Elephas maximus indicus: one gene and its partners. The protein of the gene in region 3 purifies or fractionates together with the protein of the main gene of each other region. This does not show direct contact. Links are inferred from orthologs where the notes say so. Each region holds a gene or a part of one and is shown on either strand. Other genes may lie near its edges.

What was found. The genes of interacting proteins can lie anywhere in the genome.
Region 1: the proteins of ARHGEF7 (region 3) and PAK2 purify together in Homo sapiens (co-immunoprecipitation; 5 studies listed by BioGRID and IntAct, with this or other methods). This does not show direct contact. The link is inferred for Elephas maximus indicus from reciprocal best matches to the Homo sapiens genes ARHGEF7 and PAK2.
Region 2: the proteins of ARHGEF7 (region 3) and GIT2 purify together in Homo sapiens (affinity purification with mass spectrometry; 6 studies listed by BioGRID and IntAct, counting the BioPlex papers as one, with this or other methods). This does not show direct contact. The link is inferred for Elephas maximus indicus from reciprocal best matches to the Homo sapiens genes ARHGEF7 and GIT2.

Annotation. Positions count from the first base shown.
Region 1 is NC_064819.1:18,271,713-18,279,475, reverse strand, and holds the start of PAK2 (serine/threonine-protein kinase PAK 2), read right to left. Parts: upstream 3,008-7,763; 5' UTR 2,701-3,007; intron 1-2,700. UniProt on the Homo sapiens protein: Serine/threonine protein kinase that plays a role in a variety of different signaling pathways including cytoskeleton regulation, cell motility, cell cycle progression, apoptosis or proliferation.
Region 2 is NC_064840.1:20,517,504-20,525,037, reverse strand, and holds the start of GIT2 (ARF GTPase-activating protein GIT2), read left to right. Parts: upstream 1-4,527; 5' UTR 4,528-4,673; coding exon 4,674-4,725; intron 4,726-7,534. Other genes in the region: ANKRD13A (ankyrin repeat domain-containing protein 13A), read right to left, coding at 949-1,044. UniProt on the Homo sapiens protein: GTPase-activating protein for ADP ribosylation factor family members, including ARF1.
Region 3 is NC_064841.1:77,019,928-77,027,283, reverse strand, and holds the start of ARHGEF7 (rho guanine nucleotide exchange factor 7), read right to left. Parts: upstream 3,014-7,356; 5' UTR 2,843-3,013; intron 2,474-2,842; exon of another isoform or gene 2,464-2,473; 5' UTR 2,061-2,463; coding exon 1,896-2,060; intron 1-1,895. UniProt on the Homo sapiens protein: Acts as a RAC1 guanine nucleotide exchange factor (GEF) and can induce membrane ruffling. Functions in cell migration, attachment and cell spreading. Promotes targeting of RAC1 to focal adhesions. May function as a positive regulator of apoptosis.

The DNA.
Region 1 (7,763 bases), on a different chromosome or scaffold from region 3:
ACAGAAAAAAAACAACTATTATCATGGTGCAGGGATGGGAGGGAGAGACTATATTTTCCTTCCCTTTCAGCTTCTGTCAAGGTAGGAGAGGGATAAAAAAGGAAGGACTTAGATGTGCTATTTTTAAGTAACTTAACACCTTCCCTCTGCTTAACTTGGAATCAGCCCTCTAACTAAGGGCTAACGTTCGGGCTTTTGAGAACAAATTGATCAGAACCCTGAAGTCTTACAGCTTTGAACAGGGCACAGTTTCAAGTTTTAATCTAAAATTATAAATGAAGAATGTGGAAAGAAACATTATATTTGAACTTAAGAGTATTATTAGAATAATCAGTATCAACTGATTAAAGATGAAAAACAGTTGCTGTCAAGTGGATTCCAACTCATGGTGCCCCAGTGTGTGTCAGAGCAGAACTGTGCTCCGCAGGGTTTTCAGTGGTCGGTTTTTTAGAATTAGATCACCAGGCCCTTCTTCTGAGGCACCTCTGGGTGGACTTGAACTTCCAACCTTTTGATTAGTAGCCGAGTATATGAATCATTTGCACCACCCAGGGAGTCCTAGATTAAAGATAGGAAGAATTTCATAGTATCTACTTATTTTATCTACAGCTTCTTGAACAAGCTCTCCTTTTTTAAAATGTTTCATTGAAATTTTACCCTTAGCTACCTGAACAAGTTCTCTTTTTAAAAAAGTATAATTGGAAGGAAATATAAAACACTGTCGACCACACCTACCTGGAAACCTGCCTATCATAAGATCAGAGAGCCATAGAATCACTATTCACTCATTTACTATCACTTTATGAATTTGGGTTTGCAAGGTTCGTATTAAATATCACAAAGTCCTAAAGAACAACTCTCTGCATAATGTTAAACCAGGAATCAAGGCCTAGTGGAAGTGGAACACCTTAATAAATAATATCTGCTTATAGAAAGAACTGCCAGAGAAGACATCAACAGGCCACACGTTTCACACTCCAACATTTCTACACCCTAACCCCTTATTCCAACAGGGCCTCTCACTAAGTTAAGGACTCATGATACCACCAAATGATGACAGTATGGAAATTCAGTACTAAGCCATTTTTTCAGACTCTGCTGGAAAGAAAAATAACAATGGACTCTTCAGGGAAAACAGAAAATACACTGACTTTAGGTCAACCCCTTTCAGCCAAATCTGGAAAAGAGTTTCAGACTATATATATATCACAGGTCAAAACCATTTTGAAGTTCAGTTTTCATAATGTAAATCAGTGTTATTGGCTAATTAATAGATGGGAAAGATTTTAAAGCCAAGGATGAAAGAGTTGCTTTAAATCAATACCCTCTATAGAACATGAACAAGGCTTTCCGTTAAATTACACACATATATAGATATATATAAACATATATATATACAAGTATATACCCCTTGCCTTCCAGTCAATCTCTTCCGACTCATCGCGACCCTGTAATGAGATACGAACGAGCTTGTGTGTGTTACAAGTGCCACAGAGCTTCTGGCAAAACTGACAAGTTTCAACCTGCTTTAAAAATTACTGTGCACTGTGTTCATCCCAATCTGACTTTATTTAAGGTTATTCTCCGGACAATCCCCGGAGCAAATTCTTGTACATTTCAATATCCTGCCTACTTAACAGGAGCGGAAGAGTCAAACACAGCAGGGGAAAAAAACGTGACGTCCACAACCTTGATCCAAAACACAGCTCGTCGCTGTCTAATTTTAGGCCTAACCATTTTGACTGTCTTTTTACAGAGGTTAAAGAAGAAAACAGAACAAAACAAAACAAAAGCGATCCACTGGAAAGTTGAATTGCTACAATGATATCAATGGGAGCTGGCACTGTTTATCAAGGAGGAAACAAATCACGCTCACACGGCCCCGGGAGTAGCCCCATCAAAACGAACACACACGACCGACAACCGCAATAACTTTTTACACTTCAGTTTTTCGAGGATCTTTAAATTAGCCAAAAGGTCGAGGCCACCGAGGAATCTGGGGCAACGTTTTGCCAAACATGGTGAAAAAGTCAAGTTACCTTAACCCAAGTTACCTAAAGACGCAAATATTCACTTCCTGGCTGAAGATCAAACAAGAAACATGAAAAGATCCAAGAGTTCTGTTCTTGAGGGGAAGCCCTCAACTCCCCGGGAAACTATAGGTTTCTACTTTTGCGGGATATGGAAGAGGTTACAGATTGGAGGTGAGAAAAAAGTTAGGGTCTCGAGAGAGTATCCTAAGCAACGAAGCTGGGCGGACAGACAGCGAGCACGGAGGGGCTGAGAAGCAGGAAGAGAGGGGAAATCGAGGACTAACAGCCGAGAGGTCCGGTCCAGCATTAGCCAGCCGAGAAAGGGAGGCGGCTGGAACGGACGGAAGGTTAGACCGAGAGAGGGCAGAGCCCGCGGCGCGACGCCGCTCCGGGCAGGGCCGGGTCCGGGGAGACCGAGGCCAGCGCAGCCCGGCGGGCTTCCCACCGCGGGCGAAGCCGGCGGAGCAGACAGCCCCAGGGAGCAGACAATGAGCCACCGCCCCGGGAGCCGCGGTCCCAGGCACGCAGGTGGCGGCTCCCCGGCCCCGCGCGCCGCAGGTCGGCTGTCCCAGGGCCGCTCCCACCCGCTAGGCCGCGGAGCGAGGGGGAGGAAGGAGAGCGGCTGCCCGCCCCCCGGGCCGGCGGGCCGGCCTGCCGCCACACTCACCCCAGGCGAGGAAGGGTCCCGCCCCGGCCAGGCGCCTCCGTCCGAGCTCCCGGCGGGCTCCGGAGCCGCCCCGGGAAGCGTGCGGCGTGGGGAGGGGAGGGAAGGGGAAGCGGGGCGGGAAGGAGAGCCGGGCTGGAGCGCAGCCGCCGCTACCGCTAGGCCGAGCGGCAGCCCGAGCCCCGCGGGCGCTGGGGAAGGGAGGGCAGGGAGCCTTCGGCAATGGCGACGGCCGGGGCCGGAGGGGAAGCGGAACAACCGCCGCCGCTGCGCGTGGCCACAACCCTGGGGGAGGGCGACGGCGGGGAGCGGGCAGAGGCGGGCCCAGAGCACCGCCCCACCCGCCCCTCGCCCCCGCCCCCTGGCCTGGCGCGCCCCGGGGCGGAGACGAGCACCGCCTCCTAACAGGCGGGCTGGCGCGAGGGCTGCTGGGAATTGTAGTTCAATAGTGGGCATTTTTTTTTTTTTTTTTCCATTCTTTGTATTAAGAAGGACGTCCGTCTGGCTTCATTTAATTCAGTATAGGCTCCAAAGATGTTGACAGATGATTGCTCTTATATGAATCTGCTCCAGAACATTTGCTTCTGGGAATTCATTGTTCATTTTGCTCCTTTACCTACAAACCTCTAGCATATTTTGCTGCTAAATTACATCTCACCTGTTTGCAAGTTGAGACAAATTCCTGTGTTTTATCCACAGAGGAGTTCACCAATGTATTCACTGAGTCTACAAATATTTGAATGTCTAACCTGTACTAGACACTGTTAAGCACCATGAATACAAGGCTGAACAAGATAAACAAAGCCCTTGCCTTTCTGAGCTCACAAATATGAAAACACAATAATTGAAAGAGTGGTATCTGGTATGAGAAAAAATTTAGGGGAGATTGTTTTGGATAGGGTGGCCAGAGAAGGCCTCTTTAAAGAAATGACATTTAAGCTGAGAACGGAAAGATGAGAAAGAGACAGCTGTGAGAAGGACCCAAGGGAAGGCACTGCAGCCAGAGGGGAGAAGAAAAAGGCTTGCAGCCTTAGGTTAAGAAGGTCTGTGTAGCTGGAGCTTAGTGCAAGAAGGATACAGTAGTATGAGAAAACACTAGAGTAGATGAGATTCAGGTCACGAAGGACCTTAAATGCCACAGTAAGGAGCACAGACTATTCTAAGAAGCTAATTAAAGGGTTTGAGCAGAGAAGTGAAGTTATCTTGTTTACACTTCAAGATCACTAGACTGTTAAATGGAGTACAGAGATTCAAGAATAGAAGGGAAATGAACTAGGGAGGCAATAATTACGACTTGCACTAGGCAGATAGCAGTGGAAATGGAGAGAGGTACCGAGATTGTGCTTATCTTAGTAAAGCAAAAATTCTCAATTGACATGGAGGATACAGGAGAAAAAAGAATCAAGGAATGATAGAGCAGACTATTAGATAACCTAAAAACTCTTCCCATCATAAAACACACAAAAATGCTGGGTAAAATAGAACATCCTTTCCAAGGCATAACTAAGGTTGCAAAACTGATTTAAAAATAAAGTGCTTATTCGTTTTTTAAGTATCCAAAGAAGATAATATAATCATGAATAAAGAGGTCAAACCAGAAATGTTTTACTGTATCAAAAGCAAAGACATCTGTAACCATTTTTCAGGCAAGAAGAGTCAGATCAAAGTTTTCTTCATTCACACTCGTATTTTTTATTACACTTCTGAATACCTGTATAAATGAGTAAATGACTGAACTATGTTCCAAGATAAAATCCCAAATATTAACTTGAAAGCTTGTTTAAATATCAGTAAAATTTGGTTTGATGTGCAAAAGAAAAAAGTTATATATACACACTATTAAAAGAGGTTAAACAGTACCATGTTCCCTCATCTGTTTAACCATATTCCAAAATGTTGTCTGTTGATGTTACTGAATTTCACTTACATATAATTCCATTTCAATGCCACCTTATTAATCCCATAGAAGAAGAAATGCTTGTAAAAGAGGGAACACTTTCTTCTTTCAATATACAAAATTCTTTCAGTCTATGTAAACAGACTGGGTTAATCATTTTAAAGATCTCTTAATATTTCTGCTTTATAGCACTGGACACTAAATAAGGAAGACCGAAGAAGAATTGACTCCTTTGAATTAGTGTGTAGGTGAAAAATATTGAATATACCATGGACTGCCAGAAGAACGAACAAATCGGTCTTGGAAGAAGTACAGCCAAAATGCTCCTTAGAAGCAAGGATGGAGAGACTTCCTGTCATGGACTCTGGACATGTTCTCAGGAGGGACCAATCCCTGGAGAAGGACATCAGGGTTGGTAAACTAGAGGGTCAACAAAAACGAGGAAGGCCCTCAAGGAGATGGCTTGACACAGTGGCTGCAACAATGGGCTCAAGCATAACCATTGTGAGGATGGTGCAGGACAGGGCAGCGTTTCGTTCTGTTGTACACAGGGTTGCTATGAGTCAGAACTGACTCAATGGCACCTAACAACAATGACATGGCATTGGATTGCCTTTTTCAGTACTGTGTCAAACACAACTTCAAAAAGAATTGCTCTGACTAGTCAAGCCGTACATGTCAAATTATAAAGAGATTTATTTCCATAAAAACACTAGAATGTTTTAGGACGTTAAGCAGTCATAGCATATATAAATGTATTATACATTACTCTACATAAACAATGCCAATATACCTGGTTTACTGACTTCTATCCTGGAATGTGCTTGCCCTAAAATTTTATTTCTTAATTAACCTGTGGCACTTACTCTTTTTTTTCCCCCAACTATAACAGTTTTTTTTTTATAACAGTAAATCAAGACCCTTTGTTTTTTTTTTAAATCACTTGTAGATTCCATTTTTTTATAAATGTAAAACTTAATAAAATATACCCTCTAAAATGACAACCTCAGTTGTCTTCCTGACACATATATATTAAACCTTAGTACTTAGTTTCATCAAGTCCTTTGACAATTCATACATCAAAAAAAAAAAAACTACAAAATGTGAAAGGAGAATGGAGATGCTATAATCATCTTAAAGTCAATTATGATATTAATAATTACTTAGCGGACCTATTTAAATAGTTTTCTTTGAAACTCTGGATAAATGCCTTAATATTCTCAGGAAATTAAAGTTCAAGTAAGCTTCTGATTCATCCAAATTATTTTTTTCTTATTTATAATGGTTTTCTCAATTTTTATCTTAAATTGAAGGTTCCTTCTCACAAAAAGAGAATGATTTGTCTCATTTGTCCAAAATGAAGATATTCTCATAAAATAGATGTTAATTTAACAAAATTAAGTTTCCTCTACTGGCACTTGATGTTTGAGGATTATCAAGAATCTACACAACAGAACGCTAAATTTTGGAATCAGCTGAGAACAATTAAGTTTCCTCTAGTAAACATAATTGCAGTCATAATTCTATTAAATACATTTTTAAAAAAGTAATCACATAATTTTAGAAAAACACTTCTAGTCACAAATGAATAGGTCTTTTTTAGGTTTATGGAAAGTGTTCAGCTTCAAAAACTTATAGGGAGAAATGACCATATTTGAAAACAGCCACAAGGATCGACGTAGAACACAGGATTGTAACAAGCAGAGTCACAGAACACACTACAGAGGTATGTACGGTCAGGCCCACTGGAACCCGTAGTGTCACATTTTTATTTACCTATGGAGAGAGAGGGATAGAGAAATTAAATGGACACCATTTAAAACGCACATCCTGAGCTGAGACCACAATTTCTCTGATTTTTAACTTGATCATTTCCTTTCTTTTTTGAAATATCTTTCAGTCAATGTGTTACACTAAACGTAGCATTATTATCTGAATGGCTCTTCTGGATCCAACATTTCATTCAATGTTACAGAATTAGGCTCAATTCCCACAATAATTCTTAAATTCTCATTAGTTCTGACTTTTTCTACTTTTTACATAGAATCAAGTGTGTTCTTTAAAAAAAATTTTTTAATGACTATAAACATTTACTTCCTTTTACTATAACTCACATTAGAATGAAAAATTCTAAGTTGAAGTCCTAAAGGAAAAACATTAAAACAAGAATAAAACTGAAGTATCCATTCACTCCTCTGTTTCTCTGTCTCTCCCCACAAATAGCTTTAAAAAGTTTGTTACTGACAAATTGCACAAGCTGATTGTGCCCTAAGCTGTTACCACAACAATAAATTAGTTGTAATACTGACTAGCAACTCAAGAGTTCTCTGCTTAACTTCATTTCTATTTGTTTTTGAAGGGCTTAGTTAGAAAGCTTGGGAAAGATTATGGTTCTAAAATAGGTTTTTAAAAAAACATTAAAATTTAGGTAACTTGGGAATACTTTTATTTTTAGTTTCTAACTAGATAAGTACTTGGATTATAATTTCACATAAAAAAAAGTTACCAACCCAATCTGCAACAAAACCCTATCTGTAAATTATCCTTCAACAAAAGGCAACTTAATCAAACCTCAGTGTAAGTCACAACCTTAGTAACGGTCACCTATTTTTCTGGCATATAAAACATATATAATCAAGAAATATAACATCAAGTTAAAAAAAAAAAGTGAAAATGCTTAATTACGACCCCTTATTTCAAGTTCCATAGTTTTAAACAGAACTGAATTCAAAATGTTTTAAGAGTATAATTACTTATTTTGTAGCGATGCATATTACCAATATTTTTTAATCAATGAATCATAAGTAAATATTAACCATACTCTCCATTCACATAAAAATATTAAGTGCAACTCTCCAGATCCATTTCAGAGTCTGAAAAAAACCAGGCACCATATGACAACGGCAATTCACTCTAAGTGCATAAGGTGTTAACACAGTTGTCCATCTTCCCAACTGTCCGTTCAAAGGAAACTCTCCAGTACAAAAGGGCAATAGCACTTTGTAGGAAGCCTTCAGTGTAAGTAGCTCTTTTCGGAGCTAGCTGGTAGAGAGACGTAGAAGTATCCAAATATTCACAATAGTACGTTTGGACAAAACTGTTTTAAGTTTATCTGATTGACATTTATGGTGTCTGCTGGTTTTAGGTAAATTCTAAGTTTATTTTTGTT
Region 2 (7,534 bases), on a different chromosome or scaffold from region 3:
AGCCTCCACTAGATGCCAGTAGCACCCCACTCCCCACTCCTAACAACCAAAAATGCCTTCAAACATTGCAAAATGCTCTCTGGGGGCAAAATCACCTCCAGTTGAGAGCCCCTGAGTTGAGAATCAGTTAAGAAGAGATGGCAATAAATAAAAGACAAGGAATCAAAGAACTTTAGAACAAGGAAGGCTAGTGACACTCCTGTGCTCCAGTGACTCTCAAACTTTGGTATGTATCAGCCTCCCTTGGGAGCTGGTTAAAATGCTGAAACCTGGACCTCACCCCAGACCTATCAATGGAGTTGAGTACTGGGTTTGCTCACACCAGTACCAACACCCTCATTCTGCAGATAAGCTGATGTGGGCCAGAGAAGGAAATGCTTTGCCCAAGGTCACACAGAGCAAGTTAGAACCCGAACTCCAAACCTTAACAAAGACCTTCCTTACAGCAAGGCAACAAGGGTGCATGAGGTGAGGTGAGGGGTGTGTGTGTTGTCTTTCAGAGAGGACAGTAGAGTCTAAAGTGTAAGTCTTGGAGAGGGGCAGTAGCGCCTAATGGTAAAGACGGCGCTCTCTGGGGCCAGCCAGCCTGAGTTAAAATCTCGACTTGGCAAATTTATTAGTTGGGCGACCTTGCACAAGGCCCATAACCTCTGAGAGCCTCAGTTTCCTTCTCTGTCAAATGGAATAATAATACCCACCTCCTAGGGATGTTGGAAAGGTTAGAAGAAATAATGTATATAAAGCCCTTGACACAGAGCTTGGCACCAGTAAGCACTCAATACACGTCCTGTTGTTACTATTATTGCCGTCCCACGATTGCAGAGTTGAAGGGGTCCAAGGGACCCCGAGGGCAGGGGCTTGGAAATGGGCTCAGGGAGGTTAGCGAGCCTCGACTCCCCCTAACCAGGGGCGGACTCCCGCCCCGCCCCGCCCCGCCCCGCCCCTCACCTGGTCCCGCAGCTCCTTCTCCAGCTGCCGGTAGTCGTTCTTCCAGACCAGGAGATGCAGGGGGAAGTGGCCGCTGGCGTCGCGGGCCGAGGACATGGCGAGGAGGCCGCAGCCGGGCCCTCGCCACCCGCTCGCCAGAAGCCTCAGCCCCGGCGGGGTCTCCGGCGCCCGCCAGCGGCCGTCGAGCGAGAGGACAAGCCGAGCGAGCAGGCGAGGGACACGGCCGGGTGGCCTAGCGGGCCGACTGCGTGGTGCGCGGGAGGTCGGGGGTCGCGGGCCGGGTCGGGGACCGGGTCGGCCGAGCCCACCCCGCGCCCCGCGACGCTCCCGCCCGCGCTGACAGCTCCCGAACCGACTTCTGCGGACCGAACTGTCCCAAACAGGGAAGTGCGGGGAGCGAACCACCGCACGCGGGGGCGGGGAAGGGCGAGGCAAAGCGGTCGATCCGGAGTTCGCCCAACTTCACCAATCTCCAATTCCACACCAGGATCATAGTGTGATATCTAAAACAGTGTTAAGAGTACCTCTTTCGTTTCAGAGTATTGACGTGGAAAACTTGGTCTACCCATCACCAACCTCTTTCCCCCTGCCTTATGTATCGCAGATGGTTCGGTCCACAACCGGGCCTCTTCCATTGGCCCTGCGGTCAGGGGGCGACAACAGGCCTGGGCTAAACCATTCCGGCTACCGACTTCCTTGCAGCCTTTTTGGACCAGGGCAGATGCTTCCATGATTGGTCAGAATCCATTTTGGAAGTGGGCAAAAGCAAACAATTTTAGAGGAGGAATTATAAACCCTGGAGGAGTGGCGTTAAATATTTGCATAATAAGGAGATAGTTATATCACAGAGTTTTCTCAACCTCCGCACATTTTGGACCGGATAACTTGTTGTGGGGGCTGTCGGGTGCTTTGTAGGAGGTTGAACAGCATCCTTGGCCTCTACGCACTGAATGCCAGTCAAAAAAAAAAAAAAAACCAAACCCACTGTCGTCCAGTCAATTCCGACTCATATCGACCCTCCAAAAAATGTCTCCAGATAAAGTCAGATGTCCCCTGGGGGACAAAAATGGTCTCCAGTTGAGAGCCACTGTTCTATCTGAACTCTGAACTGGGTTATGATTCAAAGCTACCTATGATAATGGTTTATCCCACATGTGTCATTTATTTTTGAAGCTAGCCATTTGGATTTTGGATTATGACTGAAAAGACTGATATATAATACCCAGACTTGACCACAGTCTGCAAATATGAAGTTCATCCTTTGAGTTTCAACTTCAGATACTGTACCTCTTTGCCTCAATGAAGAATCAAGTCAGTTTATAGCCACCATTGTGCGCTTCCTGCTGCCACTTCTGCTCAGCTGTCTACAACTCGACCACATAGCTGGGCAAAGTTATTCAATTCATCCTGAAAGCATCTCCTGGGCCTTCTCTGCTTGTGTACAGCCAGCTTCTCAGATGCCTGCAACAACAGCTGTTCAAGAATCCTAGCCTAATCCATTCTCCACACGTGTTGAGCCCAGATTTGTGAGTTGGGGAACCAAAACAGCACGCAGGAGCATCAGGTTAGTACTCATAGACTGTAAGTGCTGCGTGCGTGGGAACTACGTGGCTATTCCCACACCACACATTTATCAAGCCGGAGAGATGGACCAAGGACCAGTGCTTCTAAGGCCTCTTCATTCTTTCAGAACCCTTGTGCAACTTAATCTTTCTCTCTATTGCCCCATGCTTCCTGAACATCCCTCCTGTCACATTAGTCTGAAAACTTCACATCTGTCTCGTTTACGGGAGTACCTAAAGCCAAAACAGTTCCTGACCCATAATACCAAAACCAAACCCGTTGCCATCCAGTTGATTTCAACTCATAGTGACCCTATAGGATGGAGTAGAACTGCCCCATACATAGGGTTTCCAAAGAGCACCTGGTAGATTCGAACTACTGACCTTTTGGTTAGCAGTGGTAACTCTCAACCACTATGCCACCAGGGTTTCCTGACCCATAATAACCAAAACCAAACCCAGTGCCATCGAGTCGATTCCGACTCATAGCGACCCTTTAGGACAGGGTAGAACTGCCCCATAGAGTTTCCAAGGAGCACCTGGCAGATTCGAACTGGCGACCCTTTGGTTAGCAGCCGTAGCACTTAACCACTACGCCACCAGGGTTTCCCCCTAACCCATAATTGGCATCCAATATTTGCTAAATGGAGATTATAATTCTGTTTACATGTAACACATACAATAAATATTCATTAGTGGGGAGGTGGCCTTCGGCATTAGGATCACATTTGTTCTTCACACTGATTAACCTCACTGTGTTTATCTCACACTGTTCTATAAATTGGAAATCCTGGTGGCGTAGTGGTTGAGAGCTACGGCTGCTTAATCATAAAGGCCAGCAGTCTGAATCCACCAAGTGCCCCTTGGAAACCCTATGGGGCAGTTCTACTCTGTCTACAGCGTCGCTATGCGTCGAAATAGGCTTGAGGGCAGCGGGTTTCGTTTTTGGTTAGCCTTTAAATTACTCTGGGTTATATATTCTTACTCTCAAATTTCAAGTATAGGAAGAAAAGTCGTGATTTGAAAATAATAGTGATACCAATAATAACAGTAAATCAGAGTAGAGCTGCCCCATAGGGTTTCCAAGGCTGTAAATCTTTAAGGAAGCAGGCTGTCCTGTCTCCCGGTGAGCAGCTGATGGTTTCCGACCGCGGACCTTTTTGGTCAGCAGCTTGGCGCTTTAACCACTGCCCACCAGAGCTCCTGGGAAGCTCCATTGGATAGTGCACGGCACACAGCAGACACTCAGTATTTGTTGAATGAATGAATGAACTAACTTGGCCAAAGTTGCACTAAGTGACTTGACCACTGATTGCCTCAGGAAAGTTGTGGCTGCAGAGCTCTCTATGGTCACTAGGTTTTACAGCTTCCCCTGGAATTAATCAGTACTGGGAGGAGGAGTATCTCGTGTAGGAAAAAAAAAAAACAACTCATTCATTGCCCTCGTGTGGATCCAGACTCATAGCGACCCTGTAGCATCTCAGAGACCACTAAAATACCCACGGCCGTGGAGTCGATTTAGACTCACATTGACCCCATACGGTTTCTAAAGCTATAAATCTTCTAGGGAAGCGGACTGCAGACTGCCACATTTTTCTCGCGAAGCCGCTGGTGGTTTCCAACACCCGACCTTTCGGTTAGCAGTTTTATCGCTTTAGCCACTGCGCCCCCAAGGCTCTTTCCGCAACCCAGAGGCGGGGGAAAAAAAAAAAACAAACCCGTTGCCATAGAGTCGATTTCCACTCATAGCGACCCTATAGAGCAGAGTAGGACTGCCCCATAGAGATTCCACGGAACGCCTGGTGGAGTTGAACTGCCAGCCTTTTGGGTAGCAGCCGTAGCTCCCAACCACTACACCACCAGGGTTCCCGCGACTCAAATAGAAGCACCCAAATTCAAGATTTAAAAGCAGGGCAGAGGCTGGGGAAACAGACACCTGCCCTCATTCAAGATGGCGACAAAACAGTGTGCCCTTTCCGGTCACGTGACCTGTCCGTCGGCGAAGGCCACCTCCCCGCGCGTGCGTGTTGCGCCGGGCTCCGAGGCGCTGAGGGGAGAGGCGCTGCCGCCAGCGCTGCCGCGGGGACCCGTTAGAGCGGAAGCACCGCCGCCGCCTTCGCTGTCCGGGGGCCCCTAGTTCCCCGCGGGTGGGAGGCGAGAGCCATGTCGAAGCGGCTCCGGAGCAGCGAGGTGTGCGCTGACTGCAGCGGGCCGGGTGAGTCTCACCGCTGGGGCCCGCTCTCTTCGGCTCTCCTGGCCCGGACCCCTGCCCCGAGGCAGCCCACTGAGGTCGGGCGAGTCCCGACGGCCGAGCTGCGCGCCCCGCGCCCCGCGCCCCGCGGCTGGGGTCGCGGCGAGGGAGAGCCCGAGGCGGCAGCCTTGGGGCGGGGCCCGTCCCGGGCCTGTCAGAGCCGGGCGGGGAGGGGGCCGCCGCCCTCCGGTCTTTCCTTCTCCCCCTTCTCCTCCGTCCCAGCCGGCCGGGGAGGCGGCGAGGTCCAGGGCTGCTCCCCCAACAGGAAGGGGCTTGGGCAATCTACAGGAAGACCAATTACAGAAGTAGAATGCGAGCATCCTCCGGGCTGCGGCCCCCAGAGGCTGCAGGTGTCACCCCCACACACACCAGCCATCCGGACCCCCGCCCCGCAGAGGGCCTTGCCCGAGATGGGCGACACTCGCGGTTTCCCTCACCGAGACCCTCCGGAGGGCAGATTGCTTCCAGGCTTCTGGCATCTCGTCTCCCACTCCACGGGGAAGAACCTGCAGGACGTCGCGGTCTTGCAGAAACAACCAGCACTTAGAAGGCAGAGCATGTCTCAAGTTTTTAGATCTGAATCGCCTGGGTTCAGACTAGGTCTGGGTGACCTTGGGTTTGTGACTTCATGTGACCAAGCCTTGATTTCCTCATTTTTCCAATGGATATAGTCGGGAGTATTTGGCTCGGTGATTAGATTTAATGAGCCTTCTCATCATCTCAAGTTTTTTTTTTTTTTCCTTCTTTTTTGTATTGTGTTTAGTACAGATAACTCTTGACGTCCTTTAAAGTTAGATTTGCATTTCTAAATCATGCATGAATTACAACTTACCAAAAACTAACAGGCGCAAAATCACGGGCAGTATTCACATTTGAGCATTCAGCAATATGGGCATAAATCATTTCTGCCATGTGCAAGTTTCAGGTACAGAGTTCAGCTCCATCTTAGCATTTGGAGCTGAGCTGACAGGTCTCTGTGGCTAGATTGTGTTTTGTTTTCAGTGCTTCGGTTTATCTGCTTTGAGTTTGAAGTAACTCAAAAGTAAGATGGCTTCCTTGGCACAATATCGTCCAGTAAACAACCTTAATGAAATCATTGAATGCCAGTGTTGTGGCAACTGTTCTGAACTTCATCTTGTCATTTGGAGGTTGAGGCTGAGTCCTGTGATAACTTGCAGTCAACTGGACGGCAACTAACAAGAACAACATGATATCTCAAACCTGAAGTGGTTTTTCTCATAGTCTGTATAGAGCCCTGGTGGCGTAGTGGTTGAGTGCTACGGCTGCTAACCAAAGGGTCAGCAGTTCGAATCCCCCAGGCGCTCCTTGGAAACTCTGTGGGGCAGTTCTACTCTGTCCTATAGGGTTGCTATGAGTGGGAATCTACTTGACTGCACTGGGTTTGATTTTTGGTTTATAGAGCCGTCAGGGTTGCCAGTTTCCTTTGAAAATAGGGAAAGGGGTGGAGGAGTTTAAAAAAGAGGTGTTTTATAAACCAGCCAGGGTGGTTATACGAAATTAATCCTAGTCTCTAAAAATGTTTCCACTTCCTTCTTTTTCTTGCCTGTTTTCAGTTGAACTTTCTGCGTCATGTTTGATTCACATGTGTCTAGCTTCAAACTTCCTCTTAGAATGAGTATTCTTTACTTCTCAGTGGATGGCTTAGGGCAAAGGAAAGTTACTTCTTCGTTGTCACCCTAAATACTACCTTGCATTTCTGCATCATTTTATGCATTTCAGAACATTTTCTCTTTCATCATATCATTTTAGTTGTCTTATGTACCTATCTACAGAGACTTGAGTCACTTCCTTCCTGTTTTGAGTATAATTAGGCTACCTTGAAATGTTCCGTGAACTTGTGCAGCTAGGAATTTGTTCTGCCTTTTCTGCAAAACCCTAGTGAAAGGGTTACCTTTAGGGTTAGAGACTCCTTTGTGAATCTGATGAATGCTAAGGCCCTCTCCCCAAAAAATGCACATGTATGTACTTTCACACACAATTTCATGCGCATTTTCTCAGTGGGACCACAGACACTCCTGAAGCTCATTTGTGGTGTCCGTGGAGCCCAGGTTAAGAAACCCCGACACAAAACATCCACATAAACAGGAAGGGTTTTACCCAACCTTATTTGTACAAACTCGGTTTGATTTTACTCGGCTGTAACATTCTAGTTACTCTATCCATGGAATTCTGATATGTGATGTTAAAATGGTTAATTGAGAACCTTGCCTAATTGTTAAATCCTTGCTGTCTTAGTCCTGTTCCATTTCCCCTGAAAGAATACTGTGAATTCTCTGGATGCTAGGTGAAAATCAAAGCTATGCTTCAAAAAAAAAAAAAAAAAATGCTTCAAGGCAGTCTTTTTTTTCCCTTCGTGCAGAAAAAAACCCGTCGCTGTGTAGCATTTTAGGGATCCTTTATCTTGATGTTTACAGTGTTTGCTTTTTAGAATGGTATAGTAGTACTGAGACAGTTATACTTCATTGAATTATTTTGTTTCATGGCAAATATTTAACCATGATTATTTCTTCTTAGTTTGCTTGTTTAATGAGCGCAGTTTATTTTAACTAAATCACACTGAGTTCGATTACCTGAAAAATCCGCTGAAATTTTCACTATGATAATATAGTATTTACTTGAAACATTTGATGTTTTAAGTTTTTCCAATCAAAAAATTTTTTTTCAGGATCACAAATTTCAGCGGGCTGTTGAAATATCTGAATGGTGCTTAGAAAATTATTTATAAAAGACGTAACAGTTAACATTACTGAGT
Region 3 (7,356 bases):
CAGAAGTAGTATATCCAGGTGACAACAGAGCATCCTGAGTGCCTCCAGAGTTAAATCCTGCCCTTTATTCTCACCTTAAATCATAATTTTATTGTGACACCTGGTTCATTTACAAGCAACATTTTTATTTCATGGACAGATTGTTGTCATAAATACGTTCCAAATAAGAAAGACACCTAAAACTAATATGTATGCAAAATTAAAGATTTTCTGACATTTAAAATGTAATGCCAGAACGCGTTCAAAGTTATGAGTAAGATTAAATATTTCACTTTTTCAAGTAAAACATTTCATTATTAACAAATGCATTCCACTGTGTATAAGGGCCAATGTGCCCCCATTAGAAAATGAAGCTGGTTTCCCCAATTATGGTTCACTCCAATATGTGCCATCATTTAAATAACTGTGGAGCCTAACATTCTATCTTGGCAAGATATTTGAGATAAAATTGTAATATATTAAAATAGAGGGAATACAACCTCCTTCGAAGCTCTCACGTCCCCTCCCCATGCTTCGTGAGCTCCTGGGAGCTGAAAACAAGCTTTAATCACTTACAGAAATGCAGGTCAAAGTTCACACTGCAGCCACGGGGAAACCACTAGTCAAGAGTAACGGGAAGGAAGGTCTTTTAGGACTATCGATTCTGTTCAGAATCAGGTATGAATTTGAAAACGAAATCTGCAATTTTACACAAGTCTCGAAGAATGCCAGGGCTTTTTTTTTTTTTTTTTTAACTCAAGCTTCTGCAATCCTCTTGCCTGGGAATACAGGAGGCATTTTTTCGCTGGGAAAGTAGTAAACCGTTTCACAGCCCAGCCCTCAGCTACTGATGAATGCGTCTTTTAAAAAATGCACGGGAATCGATCAATTAAACAGAAAAAGGATGAAATGCCAAGAAGAAGAATTGTTCAAACAAAGCCATCAGAGAAAACTGTGCGTGGTACTGGAAGACCGTTTTACCATCAGGTTACTGGAAACGAGCTAGGCAGACCTCACAACACCGAGGAGCAAGTTACCGTCAGGGCGGTACAGAAATCCTATTTCCGACCATGTAAAAGAACTCTTTCTCCCGCCGACCCGCGCCCCCGGCCCGCCGCCTCCGGCCCGCCGACCCCGCGCCCCGCGCCCCCGGCCCGCCGACCCCGGCCCGCCGCCCCGCGCCCCCGGCCCGCCGCCCCGCGCCCCCGCCCCGCCACCCCGCCGCCCCGCCGCCCCGCCACCCCGCCGCCCCGCCGCCCCGCCGCCCCGCGCCCTCGGCCCCGCGCCCCCGGCCGGCCGCCTCCGGCCCGTCGACCCCGCGCCCCCGCCCCGAGCCCCCGGCCCGCCGCCCCGCGCCCCCGGCCCGCCGACCCGCCGCCCCGCGCCCCCGCCCCGCCGCCCCGCGCCCCCGCCCCGCCACCCCGCCGCCCCGCCGCCCCGCGCCCTCGGCCCCGCGCCCCCGGCCGGCCGCCTCCGGCCCGTCGACCCCGCGCCCCCGCCCCGCCGCCCCGCGCCCCCGGCCCGCCCCACACAATGGCGCCCTCCGAGCTCCGGCTGCCTGGCGAGGAGCGCTGTGCGCGGGGAGAAGCGCACGCTCCTGCCCGGCGCCAACCGGGCTTCCAGGGGGTCCGCGCACAAAGGAAAGTGCGTAGGCTTCCTCCCGGGGCGCTCCATTCCCCGCGGGGCACAGGAAGAAGGCGGGGACCGCCGCGCGGGTCGCCAGGTGCCAAGGCGCGAGGTGGTCCGCACGGCCGGGCACTCCTATGCCATCCCGGGCCGCGGCGGCCGGGGACCCCGGGCGGCGAGCTTTGTGCGCCCAGCCCGCAGGCGGCGCGCAGCGGCCGGGCCCCGGGGGCGCGCTCGGTGCCAGGGGGTCCGCGCGGCGGGGGCGGCGCGCCAGCTGCCATAGCACTTACTTTCTCTATGGTCCCGGGGAGCAAGCGGTCCAGCAGCCTGCAGAGGACCACCCCATCTTTCAGAGACGACTGCAAAAAGCCCTCCGGGTCCGAAATGGTTTTTTTGGGCGACTCCAGCACCCCCAAGGTAATGAGCCACGTAACGGTCTGTTCAGCAGAATTCATAGCTGTCCGAGGAGGAGCAGGAGAAATCCGCAGGGGAACCAAGGGGGATGCTGCACCGCCGAGCCTCTCCCTCCTCCCTCGCCCGCCCGCTCGCTCTCCGTTGCTTTTTCTGAGCCCCCTTTTGGCTCGTGGTTTCACATTGGAGCAGCCGGGGCTGGAGCCGCCGATCCCACCTCCTCCTCCTCCTCCTCCTCCTTCCCCATGTAGATGCAGATGACGACGATTGGCTTTGCGAAATCCAGTAGGTCCAGTTTCGCTCCCTCTCCCTGGCTCGCCTTTTGGCAGACTGTCAAGTGCCTTTTCATTATGTGCACATGAACCTGCAGCGGCGGCGGCCCGGCGCCGCCTCCTCCTCCTCTTCCTCCTCCTCCCAGCCCTCAGCTGCTGTCGCCCAATGACATCACTGAAACGAGAAGAAAAGAAGGTGCCGTTTGCAACCCGCTCCACATCCTGTCACCGTCTCGGCGCGTCCCAGCCGCCACCGCCGCGCACGACAGATGGGTCCTCGCTGCCCTGGGCCCCCAGGACAAGTGGGCACGCTGCGTGCGCTTTTGCGCAGGCTTTGCGCGTGATGTGAATGTGACCTACGCCGAATTTAACAAATGGTACCAGGAACACAGCGCCAATGTGACCGATGCCTCGGGGCGTGTGTTTACGCACAGGTGCTTGCCCGTTAGGGGGCAGCTAAATCCAGACTAGCTGTGTGGATAGGCGCCCGTCGGCCCACCCCTCCGTAACCGTTGTCATCAGTATCTCGTGTTTGTGCGCGCGCGCGCTCTTACCTCGACAGCTGCTTTGTAGGCGACAGACCCAAAGAGTCCTTTTGACCTCCAGAAGTCTGGGTTCAGCCACACGCCGAGGTGGTTTTACCAGCTGAGCCCGCGCGCCGCCCTGCCCCCTCGGCGACCACGTGCTGGCCCCTCCGCGCACCGTCTGAGCCGTTTGCGCTCCTGCTCCGGGTCTACGCAGCCGACACCATCTGGATGGAAGCGCCTCCCGGGACTGTCTTCGCTCTCCTGTCCCTTCCGCCGCCCCACCCCCTTCCTTGGAGGACTTGGAAACCTTTTTTTTTTTTTTTTTTTAATCATGAAAGTTTAAATTATTAAATATTTCCCAGAATTCTCATATCTTTGACAGTTTTATTTCAAGAGGGGAGTGAAGGGGGGGAGGGTCCTGAAAACAAGACGTCTTCGCTACCTTGCAAGCCAATAATTACAGAACGTAAATTATAATGAAGTATGTAACCAAACCCAAAAACCAAACCCACTGCCGTAGAGTCGATTCCGACTCATAGCGACCCTATAGGACAGAGTAGAAGTGCCCCTTAAGGTTTCTGAGGCTGTCATCTTTGCCAAGCAGACTGCCCCATCTTTCTCCGGCAGCTGCCGACCTTCTGGTTAGCAACCGAGTTCTTTAACCACTGAGCCACCAGGACCCTAAGTATGTAACCACATGGGTCTAATTCGGGAAGGAATTGATTTTCCTAACCCTGCTGTTTGTCCTTTTAAACGTGCACCGCAATTTAACGCCGTGGTGCTTGTGTCTCGCGTGCCCCCTGCTGGGGGGCTGGTTAATGCGGCGGATGACCTCACCAAATTCTGGAAGGTGGGTGGCTAAATATATGCGAGGACCGTTAAGGGAGCGCATTTTCCTAGGACCGGAAACCTTGGAATTCTCCCACATTAAATTGATGGTGATGTTTCAAACACTGTTGGAAGAAAGTCAAGAAAATAACATAAGCCTAGAGTGGGTTTGTGCAGACGATCAAGCAGGAATATGAGAACCGCTCAAAGTAGGGCGCTTGGCTGACTGCATAGGAGCAGAAGCTCGTCAGGTGGAAGTAGGCCTGGAACGGGTACAGGCCTAAGGAATTCAAACACCAGCCTTCAGGGCACTGAGCAAATTTCTCTAAACAGCTGGTGACGCTTACACATTTATATTGCTCTAGAAGAAATAGGGCCTCTTTTTTGAAGAAAGCCTTCTCTGCTCCTTTTATTTCCATTTGTTCTGCCCCTAGTCTGTTAGTGCTTTCTCTGTTTGCTTGCTGTGACTCTCCCTGAGTTTAAAATAATATTAGCAGTCGCTTACAAAGAGCTGACTGTGTGCCAGGCACATGTATTAACCCACCTAATGATAAAGCCAGAAACCATAAAAAAAAAAAAAAAAAAAACTTTGGAAAATAATGAAAGCAGCTTAACTCTCCTCTTCCTCTTCTTCCTTCCGGAGGTGTTTGTTGTTTGTTGTGCTTTAGGCGAAAGTTTACAGCACGAATTAGTCTCTCATTTAAAAATCTGTGCACAAATTGTTTTGTGACACAGATTATTTCTATCGCAATTTCTACTGCAGTCATTAGTTGCATTAATTTTCCTCTTCGAGTACCTAATTGTCTTGCCACAAACACAAAATAATTAGGATAGCAGTGTGAATTCTGGGCAATGAGGGCCAATAAAGACACAGTGATAACAGCTGCCATTCACTGTGCATCCCCACAGTCAGGTACCATGTCCAGCGCCCTCACCCACACCACTCCATCGCTGCACAACCGTGTGAAGTTATCTCATTATCCTCATTTCATAAAGGAGGAAACGACACTCAAAGAAATGAAGCCACTTGTCCAAGGTCACATTTATTTGCTAAGTGGTAGAGATGGGATTCGAACCCACGATATCTGACTGCAGAGCCAAGGCGTCTATCTAGCTAGCTCTCTACATTGCTTCCCTATAAGGTCTCCAGAAAATAGCAGAGGAATTAACAGCTTTATCAAGTTTTGTTAGGAAACCCTGGTGGCATAGGGGTTAAGTGCTATGGCTGGGAACAGTTCAAATCTGCCAGCCGCTCCTTGGAAGCAGTTCTACTCTGTCCCTTAGGGTCCCTATGAGCTGGAATCAACTTGACAGCACTGGGTTTGGTTTTGGTTTATAAAGTTTTGTACCTGAAGGGTCTGTCAGTGGGAAAGTATCAACAACCCGAGGGTGGTCTTGAGATTCCTGTTTACTTTTATTACTGCCGAATGGGAGAAATAATTTTCAGTACATGTATAGTCACTACAGTTTCAAATTCTATTAAAATTAGGTCTGGTGCAGCATATACCTGGGAAACAAGAGTAAGATTCAAACTGACTTAATAAAATGGTCCTACAAACAACAAGCTCTAGGGAGTGTTCCTAGGTATCCAATTATTATCAGAAAAAAAGCCCACAGACCAAGTACTATAACTAGTCTTTTTTTAAATTGTGGTAAATATAGTAAATATACATGTAGCAAAACCCTGGTGGCACAGTGGTTAAGAGCTACGTCTGCTAACCAAGAGGTTGGCAGTTGGAATCCACCAGGTGCTCCTTGAAAACTCTATGGGGCAGTTCTACTCTTATAGGGTTGCTATGAGTCGGAATTGACTTGGCGGCAACAGGTTTTGTTTAACCCATTTGCCATTCCAACACTTTTCACATGAACAATTCGGTGACATTAATTATGTTTATCATCACCACTACCTGTTTCCAGATTTTTCCATCACCCTTAACAGAAAGGCAATGTCTCCTAAGCAAGGAGTTCCCCTTTCCCACCCTTCCAGCCTACCTCTAGTAACCACGAATAAACTCTGGTCTCTGTATACTTACTTGTTCTAGATATTTCATTTAAGTGGGATCATACACTACCTGTCCTTTTGTGACTGATTTATTTCACTCAGCATAACGTTTTCCAGGTTCACCCGCGTTGTAGCATGTATCAGGATTTCATTTCTCTTTGTGGCTGAGTAATATTCCATTGTATATACCACGTTTTATATATACGTTTAGGCTGTTGCCACCTGTGTTAGTCATCCAGCAGTGCCATAACAGAAATAACACAAGTGGATGGCTTTAACAAAGAGTTTATTTTTTCACAGTCTAGTAGGTTACAAGTCTAAATTCAAGGCTTCAGCTCCAGGGGAAGGCATTCTCTCTCTGTCAGCTCTGGAGGAAGGCTTCCCCTGGTCAAGGAGCTTCTCAGGCACAGGGATCCAAAGGACACACTCTGCTCCTGGTGCTGCTTTCTTGGTGGTATGAGGTCCCCAACTCTCTGCGTGCCTCCCTTTCATCTCTTGAGAGATAAAAGGTGGTACAGGCCACACCCCAGGGAAACTCCCTTCAGTATCAGGGAGGTGACCTGAGTAATCCTTTTAACTGCAGGCAGAGATTATGATTTCTAACACACAGGAAAATCACAAAATGGAGGACAAGTACACATGGCCTAACCAAGTTGACATGTATTTTTGGGGGGGACACAATTCAATCCATTACATCACCTTTTGACTATTGTGAATAATGTCACAATGAATATTGGTGTACAACTGGTCTTTTTTAATAGAAGTACCCCAACTTTTAAGTGCTTTATACTTACTAGTGGCATTTCAAAAACTTTATTTCGAATATATTCTAGATGTTCAAAGCTAGATGTTCCCCAGGTGTTTAATTGAGATGTAACATCCAACGTGGGCATGTGGTTAAACCTGCCTTAAGATTTTTCCCAGTTACAATTCTAGAGCCATGCTGTGTGGAGTAGGATTCTGGAACACAACACTAACTGGTCCCTTGGACTAGAAACACGTTCCATCGCTTCCTGTGGACCACTTGGCCCTGTCTATGGATATTCCTTTGCCTTACCCTCAAAAGGATGTAGACAACATGGTAAATACAGTCAAAGTCACTGTAAAAATGGTTGACACGTCAAATGTTTTATTATATTTATTTCATTACAATAAAAAAAATTTTTAAACCTACTTTAAAAAAAAGAGTGTAGAATGGTTTCAATGCAAGCATGTCCTTTAGCTCCCACAGTTCTCATGAGAATTTCAGCTTTACTCCCAGCTTGCCCATTGCCATCAAGTCGATTCCAACTCATAGCGACCCTGTAGCTTGGCTACCTCTTAATGGCTGATAGCCACATTCCAGGTATTTGTTAGGAGTACACCCACAAACTCAGCTGCAAACCAGTAACTATCAATCAAAAGCTTGGCTGAAGGACACTGTTTGTGTGCGGTTGCCTGGAGGGTGGTCTTATAAATATGTTAAAATCTACCCCAACCTTAAGCTGGCAGGCAGATGGTTATTTACCAGGACTGTGTAGTAATGGCTCCCTGTTGGATCACTTTTATTGAATTGGGTCATCGCCTAGACTGAGGGATGCAGTAAGAGGCAGTTCCATGAAACTCACCGTGTCGATTACAGGTATGTTATCAAAGGCATTCATTTTGAGAAAATTTGTTCTATTTGTCTGGCATAAATATGACCAAATACGAAATATGATGGATGCAAAGC